Linked DNA regions of Schizosaccharomyces pombe. The protein of the gene in region 1 interacts with the protein of each later gene in a biochemical or structural test. Each region holds a gene or a part of one and is shown in the gene's direction. Other genes may lie near its edges.

Region 1 (5,647 bases):
CAACAAGCTACAATGGGACGAAATTAGATAGAATAGATAAATGGAATGGGAATGAAAATAAATAAAATGATTTTCTAATACCACGTTTCGAATCAACCGAAACCGTCGTTCGCAAACGGAGACCTGCCTGGCTTGATTCAACCAAAGGTACGTGAGTGTTTAAAATTGTAAAGAGATGCGTAACTCCTTAATACTTATACATATAGTAAATGAATTTTCGATACTATTTCAAAAGTTTTAACACTGTACTAATCGTCAAAATCCTTGTTGGTTCATGACAGGTGAAAATCCTTGCAGTCCTTTCGCATCCTTATATTGCACCGCGTTAGACGACGCAAGGTGGCAAACCAAAGCATTTCCCCCTGACGTCATAAAAAGAGCGGAGGAACTTGCGGTATAGGTAATACTACCCAACCGCACTCGGGTTCGCAATGTTATTAGTAAACGGCCTTCCGGTAAGCCTTACAGTAAAAGGAAAGGAAGCAGGGGCAATTGGAAGACCAGCAGTGGTACGAAATCTTCCTTAGCTTTATAGAATGAGGCTTGTGCTGATTGTCAACAATTTGCTGACAATGTGTGAAACGTACAGAGTTGGGTTGTTGAACAAATGTTCTGTAGCACTGTGCCAAAAGAGAAAAAATAAAAAAAAATAAAAAAAAAAGAGAGATAAAGGATAGTCGGTAAGAAGTTGAGCCTCTTTGTTTTCCTCTTTTTTGTATTGTTTTTAATTTTGTATGTATATGATAATAAGTAGGTATCTAATTATATTTGATTGATCCGATTAAACCGGACTATGACTGTAATAACCATTTTATTCACGATTAGTTAACGGTGTGCCACAAAAAACTAAAACAGATAAGGGCAAGTTTCGTATGGAATTATTGTACATTATCGTATTGAGTAAGTAGATAAACGTGTTTGATGACTATAGACATTAAAAGGATTATCGAGATTGTAAAATTTTGGTTTTTTTACAGATTAGAAAAAAAAAGAAAAAAAAAAAAAAAAGAGGAGAAGGACATGTTGCAAATCCGTGAGTCAATAAAACAATTCTGGAAGAAGCAATTTTTTAGTATTCACAATGTAAAGGAAAGGACGACAATTACAATTTCATTGAATAATCCCAAGCTATAGGAGAGACTTAAAACGAGTTTGAAATATTGAAGAATATAGAAGGATAAGAAAGTCGATTAGTATGAATTTTGAGATTCTATTAAAATATGAATAGCAGCAATTGTTAAACTATCAAAATTTTTCTTTTATTCATTATACAATGCTATTTACTTATTACGGTGAAAAACTAACACGTCAACCTCAAACAATTTAGGATTTAAACTTTCGCTTTCCAATCAAGTTTAGATTTTTATTTTCCCTAAAAGTAGTCTTCTCATTTGCACATGATTTTGTAATGCTAAGCTTGGGGTAAATGAAAGAGACCTCCCTTTTGTAAAAGAAATCTGCGTAATGCTTATAACATCGGGTCGTAATTGCTTGACTCAATAATGTAAACAAATTTTGTTAAAACTATTTGTCCCTTGAAGAGGCAGTGTTATATAGTCAGATTAGCAACACAATATATTAAAAACATCGAGGAAATTTGCATTAATAAATGCGAAATTTTCGTATTCTATATGAGCGAAACCTTAGCTAAATAGTATTGATTAACTCAGAAAAGACCAAGCATTCATAGCGAAATTAACATGAAAATTCGTGATAATAGCCTTGCTACATGAAGGCAAGAAGTTCGTTTGTTTTTAAGCAATGCAAGCATGGCATTATTATTAGCGCATTGGCTTCTTCTAAAAAACACAATCTTACATTTTAATTCGGTTGTGGAAAAATTTGATCTTTAGTTCAATGTCTTTTGTAAACTGATAATTTTAACTTCATTTTTTGGAAATGTGCATTTTGCTAATGCATATATAGCAGCAAGACCTTAAATAACAATATAAGTTTTCATGAGAACCATGTTTTCTTAATTAAGAAGACAGTAGTTTGTAAACTGTATTAAGATTATACATATATCAATATATGTTAATATATATATTTATTCATATATTCATTTTTTACAAAAGTGATTTTTCGGATTTCAAACTGTCTAAAGTTTGCATGTATAGAACACAAATTTATTTAGGGTTCAAATGATTTCGTACACAACTTTAACTTATGTTTCGCTTGTTGTATTTATTTACTTCAGCATTGGCGAGACGTGAGGGACCACACCATATTATGTATTTGCGGGTTTGTCAACACAGATTTAATTTACCCATAGCATATTACTTTATTTTTTAGCATTAACAGTATTTTGATTCGTTGTTTCTCGTCAATTCGCCTTTTTGTCTCTTTCTACATTTTTTGAAACACAGTTGGGAGCTATTGTCGCCGGTTTGTGAGAAAGATCACCATTTTACATAGAACGTACTGAAGGTATTGTATTTTGGCGATTGAACGGGCAACTCTCAATTTTTTTGCTTTTTTTGTATTTCAATTGTAGAATTGAATTGTTAGTTTATCACAAGCAATCTCAATTGCGGTTGATAATTCATTCCACTCCTCGGCCTTGGAATTTTGTCTTTGAAGCTACTTTATATAAGTCTTTTACTGGTTAACTTATGATTTTATGCAAATTATTTATCACCAATCATGAATAACCCTTTTAAGGATATGGATTGCTATGAAATCTTGCAAGTGAATCATGACTCTGACTTGCAAGAGATTAAAGCAAATTACCGGTATGAAAACTTGTTTTCAACTTAATCAATCAACATAGAATATAAATTTACAGCTTTTCGATCTGTGATTAAAACATAATCGTTTAAGTTGTGAAGAATTGATCGCCTTTGTGTATCTTTACTAATCATAACAGAAAATTAGCTTTGCAATATCATCCCGATAGAAATCCGGGCATTGAAGACTATAACGAAATATTTTCCCAAATAAACGCTGCATACAATATTCTCTCTAATGATGATAAACGAAAATGGCATGAAAAAGACTATCTAAGAAACCAATATTCTGTACAAATTGAAGACGTTTTGCAGCATCTACAAACAATTGAGAAAATCCCTTTTGAAAGCACCTCAGCGTTCGTTGAAAGACTGCGACAAGACGAAAAAATAGCGGGTTCCACAGACGACCTTCCAACTTTAGGGGACACAACTTGGCTTTGGACGTATGCCAAACCTATTTATCAAAAATGGCTAAGATTTTCAACGAAAAAATCTTTTGAATGGGAAGCTCTATATAATGAAGAAGAGGAAAGTGATGCAGCTACACGGCGATTAATGAAGAGACAAAATCAAAGGCAGATACAATACTGCATTCAGCGATATAACGAACTTGTCAGAGATTTAATAGGAAAAGCATGTGATCTTGATCCACGGAGAAAAAACGTTGTGAAACTAAGCGATGGAGAAAGATACAACTCCCTACAAGAAGCATCGCGAAAGCAAAGTGAACGTGATCGGCGTCAGTACCAGGAAACTTTTAAAAACCAATCAATTGCGTCTTGGACAATAATCGATCAGGAAGAAACATCCAGCGATGATGAATCTTTGAGCAAAGAAATTGTGAATTCAAATCCAATAATGTGTATGGTTTGTAACAAGAACTTTCGATCACAAAATCAATTGGAGAACCATGAAAACAGCAAAAAACATAAAAAAAATTTAAGGAAAATGAACCAAGAAATAAAAAAGCACGCAAAAGAAGCCCAGAAAAACGCGGAATCGAATAAACAACCCGAAGATGCTCCTAGCGAATCCCCATATTCGAACAAAGTTTCTTCCTCTGACTTCTATACGAGAAGTTTTGAGGAAATAGAAAAAACATTTACTTTTGTCGAAATCTCTGATAACGAGTTTTATACAGCATCCGAAGATGGTTTTTTGAACGAAGACGATAAGTTGGATCAAGATTAGCACCGCAAGCTTATCTTTTTTAATAGAATAATACAGGTCTGTTTTTTGCTAAGTTATATAAACCATTATTCATAAATTTTGTGACCAGCACGCAAACTTTCAATAAGCAATTGTAGTTTGTTATGATCAAAAATTTCCTTTTGCCTTAAATTGTCTAGCTCTTCTCCAAACTCTGAAGTAAGTTGTTCCATATATTCAGATAGTGATGGCTTTTCTGTTTCTTTTTTTGAAAATGTCTGAAACATAGGATTTTCAAGCATATTTGATACCGTCGATTTGTTATCGATTTTTTGATCGTTTGTTGCCATTTTTCAAAGCTTGTTTTGTCGAAGTTTGTAAATAATACAATTTTGCAAAATTTTTTTATTTTCGACTTCCTGAATCCCTTTATTACCCAAAGTTAATAATTGCGAGATTGGCGTAGTTACCAACTTTTTATACTTCACAACACTCTTACTTTTTCCATTAGATGAACAGCCTGGCTAGGTTCAAAATAACGATATAACTAGATAAATTTAGGCTATATTTTGACTGCAATAAAGTTGGGAAATTATGGAAAACAAAGACGCTTTAGATATTGGTAAAGATGACACAAATACTTCTGAAGCTGACGTTTCTAAAAATGAAACTCAAGAGCAACCCGTTCTTAGCAAATCTGCATTAAAAAGATTAAAAAGACAGCAAGAGTGGGATGCAGGTCGTGAAAAGCGAGCAGAGATGCGCCGGGAAAAAAAGCGATTACGAAAAGAGGAAAGAAAGCGAAAAATTGAAGCTGGCGAAGTAGTTAAAAGTCAAAAGAAGAGGATCAGACTAGGAAAGGTCGTTCCTAGTAGTATCCGAATTGTTTTGGATTGTGCATTTGATGATCTGATGAACGATAAAGAAATCAACTCTTTATGTCAACAGGTTACTAGATGTCATTCTGCAAATCGTACAGCTTTACATCCTGTAGAACTTTTTGCTACCAACTTTGGTGGACGTTTGAAAACCAGACAAGATTTTGTGCTAAAGGGGCAACAAAATAATTGGAAACGATACAACCCAACTACTAAGTCTTATTTAGAGGAATTTGAATCCCAAAAAGAAAAATTAGTATATCTTTCTGCTGATTCAGATAACACCATCACCGAACTCGATGAAGACAAGATTTATATTATTGGTGCGATTGTCGACAAGAATCGGTACAAAAATTTATGTCAAAATAAAGCGTCTGAGCAAGGGATCAAAACTGCAAAGCTTCCAATTGATGAATACATTAAAATTACGGATAGGAAAATACTTACGGTTAATCAGGTCTTTGAAATATTATCTCTTTGGTTAGAGTACAGAGATTGGGAAAAGGCATTCATGGAGGTCATTCCAAAAAGAAAGGGAATTTTGCTTAAAAGCGACGAATCGTTTGATGTTTCTGAGGATACTAGGTCTCAGTCAAATCAATCTGATAGTGAATTGGAAAAAGAAAATTAAATCGCTAGTTTAAAATCATACTAGTTATGCTTTTGATTTGTTTTGGTTTTTATTATTATAATGTATTTAGCAAAAAAGGATAAATAAAGAGGTATTAAAAAATATATTATTACTGTCGATTTAACGGAAAACAATATGCTCCACGTAAATAGAAGTCAGAGCTTCCATCCTTTCATGAGTAAATGTATGCCCAAATTTTTAGTTAAAGCTTGAATCGATTGTTGAAATACGATTTTAAAATTCCAAATTCTCATGTTTTC
Region 2 (5,039 bases), on another chromosome or scaffold:
AGCGTCAATCACTGAACATTCATATAACAGATGCTATCAACAAGGCAGCTGAAAGTTGGGGAATACGTTGTTTACGGCATGAAATACGCGATATTCGACCCCCTGAAAGCGTGGTCATGGCGATGCATCAACAAGTTTCCGCAGAGAGACAAAAGCGTGCAGAAATTTTAGAATCTGAAGGAAAAAGACAAGCCGCAATCAATGTTGCTGAGGGTGACAAACAAGCAGAAATTTTAGACTCGGAAGGTCAAAAAATAAAAACTATTAATTCCGCCTTGGCAGAAGCTCAAGCAATTCGTGAAAAGTAAGCTTTATTTTCATATGAATATATTACTCACATTTTTAGGGCTTCTGCTACTGCTTCTGGCATTGCTGTATTAGCTGACAGTATCAAGAAGCAAGAACACGGTTTGGAAGCCGTTAGTTTATACATTGCTCAGCAGTATATTACGAATTTCGGGAAATTGGCCAAAGCTTCCAACAGTATGATTGTTCCTGCATCAACGAGCGATGTATCTGGTATGGTTGCTCAAGCCTTGTCTATTTTTAAACAAGTTTCTAAAACTACCGCTCCTGATAAATCGACTCCGAAAGAATTGCATACTGACGAGAAGTAATAAACATTAAGAGTTAATGAGGAATTCTGAATACACCATAACTAACCATTCAATATCTGCCTTACCGTTATAAAAATAATTATCATGATGTGGAAAATGAACTAAATTGTTTTCACTAATCTATAAATAAAATCAATAGTTGATGAAGATTGAAATAACAAGCTTTGGGCGTGCGTCGTCAAACAAAATCTATCATTAAATGTAGAAGACGTGAATGAATAGTATACAAAACATTAAGAGCCAATAAAACAAGTAAAAAAAACTTACAAATTAGAAATTTGAAGCGTATGTGATTTGTGGAGTTCCCTCCGAGTCTTTTGAAACTAAATTACTATCGAGATCTTCGTTGTTATTGTTCTGATCTTTGTTAGCAAGCAAACGAGGTCCCCAAATCCTAGCAATAACCATCACAATAGCAAGAAGAAACACAGAACCAACCACAACACCCACCAAAATACCTATGAGAGCTTTCACACCTCCATAGGGTGTGTAAGTCTGAGGAACGAGAGACGCAATGCCACTTTGTGCAGCAATAGTTGAAGCAAGCGACGTGTATTGAAATATCGTCGTAACATATGTAGTCGGTTGAATGGTAACGTACTCTGTCACAACAGATACCTGCTGATGAATAGAATTATTGGTGCTGGAAGAAATAATTTCATTTGATGCTGAAACATCTGAAGCTGTAATCACTGACGTGCCTGAACTAGAACTGGTCGAAGTAGAGGAAGGTGATGAGGAGGAGGTCGATGGTTGACTATCATGGCTGGTGGATATAGAAGAAGAACTTGAGCTCGAAGAAGTTGAGGCCCTTCGGTATAAACTAGGAAATACGGTGCTCAATGTACCATAGTTTATACTGACACTGGCAGATGGTGCAAAAGTTCTAGGAGTAGCCCCATCCACCACTAGATAACTTATGGCAGTAAAAATTGAAATCAAAAGAAAAGACCGGATGTTCATTGATTTAAAAGAAGTTATCGAGTTACCCTCACACAAATAAAAAGTTTTAATGATTAACTAGAAAATATTTCTAACAATGCAAAAGGAGTTTTAAAAATGGAAAGCGCAATAAATAGCAAAATGAATCAAGGGTGTAGAAATCAAGCTACACTATGTTTGTTATGCAAAAAACGAGAACGATAGTGATGAATTAGGGTAGATAGTATTTACCAGATGAAAATAAAAGAGAAAAGATCACTCAAGAGATATACCTCTGAAAGAAAAGCCTTAGTCGAAGTTCGTGATATTTTGGTTACACTTGAATCTCTCACCGAACAAGCAAAGACTTACATTAATTCTGAATACTAACCATTTCAAGTCCTTAAACAATACCATATATTAGAGGGTTAACTGAAAGAATAAAAATTAATAAGAAATTTAATTAACCAGTATATGATAGCGGAATTAAAGTAGCGAGCCTTTTACATGGTGTTCAATAAGCCTATTCACCGATTAATTTACCGAGGGTCACCGAGTTCACCGTCATTTGCTAGCCATTTCCTACGTCCACAAATAGGTATGGGGTGCGCGCATACCACTCAACTACCAACTTGAGAAGTTTCCTATTTTTGGTACAACTTGTTAGGAAGCGGTCCACGCGCTTATCTTTTCATATTTTAGGTATGATTTATTACTTTGCATTAAATAAAAGATGAAAGTTCATCCGCTTGCGAATTCCTTGAGCTCGTTGTTGTGTCTGATCTCAAAATACCAATAATGTGCTGAAATGTTTTACATATTTATTAACCTAAATAGAGATAGTTATTCACAATGAGTGTCGAGTGTAGTGGAGAGTTGTTTTTCTATCCTCCTTTTACGACTATGTCGAAGGAGCTCATCTCCGTCCATAATCCCAATCCCGAGCCTGTCATTTTCAAGGTGAAGACTACTGCTCCCAAGCACTACTGTGTTCGTCCCAACTCAGGAAAAATTGAACCAAAATCTACGGTGAACGTACAAGGTTTGTAATTTATTTACTCTGGAGCGAACCACCTATCTATCTGTTCACATTTATTTTTTTGTAGTCTTTTTTATGTCTTTCAAATGTTTTTATATTTAGATAAGATATAAATACATTTTGGACTTTTAAAAGTTGTGATATTATATTTTATTCTTTTAAAGTTTGTTGTTTTTCGCTCTTCTTTTTTTGGAATAAACTACTATCATCTTTTTTTTTTATCTTTACGTGCCTCTAGTGTTTTTCTATTATCTTGGCTAACATATATTCTAGTTTTGCTTCAAGCTATGAAGGAGGAGCCTGCTCCTGACTTTAAATGTCGTGACAAGTTTTTAATTCAAAGTATGGCTATCGGTGATGCTGATACCAGTAATGTCGAAAATTATCACGAGTTTTGGACTGAAATGGAAAAACAAGGCCGTTCCATTTTTGATCGTAAAATCCGCTGTGTTTATTCAACTAAGCAACCTCCTCAATCCGCTGATAAACAGGTTGAGAACACTAGTACTTCTAACCCCCCTGTTTCTGTTGAAGGTTCCGAAAACTTAGCATCTTCTGTCGGCGGCCCTACGGCGGTTGGTGTGTCTTTGGATGAAGCTCAAAATGACTTCAATGGAGCAAAGGATCATTTAAGCAATGGTGTTAATACTGTTGTTCCAGATAGTACCTTCCGCTCTACTTTCGAAAGTGCACAAATTCCCGACGCCAGTGTAGTTCAAACCGTTGTTACTGATGCTGACAATGGTGCTGCTTCTGTCAAAGATACCATTGTGACAGCCGAAAGTGCTTCTTCCAAAGGAGCCGATGTTGCTAGATCGAAGGTACAAGATATTATTGATAATGAAATTCCAAAGCCTTCAGAAAGCCCTCGTCGCTCTGTTTCTTCGACTCCACCAGTCCACCCCCCTCCTCCCGTCCCCCAAAATTTATCAGCTGTCAATGAAGAATTTGATACTAAGAAGAATGATTTCGATTCTAAACTTCCTGAATCTACCCCTGCCGTTGAAAAAGTTTCTGAAAATCTCGGATCTGAAACTCGTGAATCTTTACAAGGGGCAAAACCTGCTGCAGGTGCTCATAGTTCCGACAACGCCTTGGAACAAATCAAGCCCTCTTATTCAGCTGACCCTTCGAGTTCCACTGGTGCTTCTTTAACCGAATCTCCAGGAATTCCTCCCAATATTGTTATCATTCTTTGCCTGATTTTCTTCCTTATTGGCTATCTTTTCTTTTAAAATGTAAAGCGTAGATATGTTTAATAAGAAGTGTAAAATCTTCTCCCTAAGTTAATGGCTCTTGATTTTATTACTTTATATGGCCTTTGCTAAGCAAGGTTTTAGGTTGACGTTTGTTGAATTTGTTTGCTCTTCACAACGATAGGGTACTTTTTAGCGCGTTTATCTGGCTTTGGAGATAATTTCCAAATGTCGTTATTTATGTCGACGTCTCATGTTATCTACTTTTTACTCGCAAGAAAAGTTGTAGTCCTCTTATGGTTACCAGACATTCATTCTTACCAGTTCACAAACGTAAATGTGTCTTTAAATACATTACAGCTTCTTATAGTGAATACAATAACATTAATTTATATAAAATAATTTTTTTTGGAAAGAACAATATTAAAATGTGTTAGCTTTTTAGGGCATACGACATTGTGGAATGTTCAAACATTAATGCAAAAAATCAATGAAATTTAAGTGAGTAGGGATATGGCTTTTGTTCTTTGAACTACCTTTTAAAATTAAAGGAGATTTTAAACACTTATTTCGAGAATAATTCCTTCGCAATTTGCGAACTTACAGGATTATGGTAGGAACGAAATATGTTTGCCTTATAAGGGTGTTCAGCTCCATCGTAAATATAAAGACGTTTCATTCTCCTATCCCAAAGCTTATTTCTTGGAAGCATTCCACCAACTGCTCTTCTCAACAAATCCTTGTGCCCCCGTTTCGCAGCCATTTCTTCCATCGTCCACTCTTTAAGATGACCAGGCTGACCCGAATGTGAATAATATTTATGATTTTCGAGTTTTCGACCAGAAATCCCAATTTCAGAACAGTCAGTGACTACTACGACATCTCCACAGTCTGCTGCAGGGTGATAAATGGGTTTGTGCTTGCCCATAAGAGTAGTTGCAATTTGGGAAGCCAGCCTACCTAGAGGAACATTTTTTGCAGAAACATGATGCCAAACTTTGGCGTAAGCCAATGCTGTCTGATATTGTTAGTAAAAGAAACTGTCAAACTAATTTCATACTTGTCCATTCAACGTTGACATCGCGTTGAGATTTCTATATCATAAAATCCTCAGTTCCTTCTGATTTTTCTCTTAAAGCGACAGTACAATATCAGTGGTTTCTAATAAAAGAGAAGTAGGAAAATTGCTCAAATAATGTTTCCTCAAGCTTGTAGGTGTGGGTAAATATTGGATGCTAAGCAACTGTAGTAAGGTAACTGTTACCT

What was found. The genes of interacting proteins can lie anywhere in the genome.
Region 2: the proteins of epr1 (region 1) and scs2 form a complex in vitro, tested with the Schizosaccharomyces pombe proteins (one study listed by BioGRID).

What each region holds. Positions count from the first base shown.
Region 1 is NC_003424.3:2,423,548-2,429,194, forward strand, and holds epr1 (ATPase co-chaperone protein), read left to right. Parts: upstream 1-2,268; 5' UTR 2,269-2,643; coding exon 2,644-2,732; intron 2,733-2,866; coding exon 2,867-3,920; 3' UTR 3,921-3,985; coding exon of another isoform or gene 3,986-4,228; 3' UTR 4,229-4,420; downstream 4,421-5,647. Other genes in the region: ribosome assembly protein Rsa3, read right to left, coding at 3,986-4,228; tRNA m(1)G methyltransferase Trm10, read left to right, coding at 4,473-5,387; DNA primase catalytic subunit Spp1, read right to left, coding at 5,622-5,647. UniProt on the Schizosaccharomyces pombe protein: Reticulophagy receptor required for autophagosomal sequestration of endoplasmic reticulum (ER) membranes during ER stress. Confers resistance to ER stress by promoting the autophagic degradation of the ER (ER-phagy or reticulophagy).
Region 2 is NC_003423.3:4,219,718-4,224,756, reverse strand, and holds scs2 (VAP family protein), read left to right. Parts: upstream 1-2,160; 5' UTR 2,161-2,240; intron 2,241-2,375; 5' UTR 2,376-2,390; coding exon 2,391-2,580; intron 2,581-2,850; coding exon 2,851-3,812; 3' UTR 3,813-4,170; downstream 4,171-5,039. Other genes in the region: SPOM_SPBC16G5.07C (prohibitin), read left to right, coding at 1-304, 347-617; SPOM_SPBC16G5.06 (uncharacterized protein), read right to left, coding at 888-1,580; mrpl23 (mitochondrial 54S ribosomal protein uL13m), read right to left, coding at 4,339-4,791, 4,834-4,854.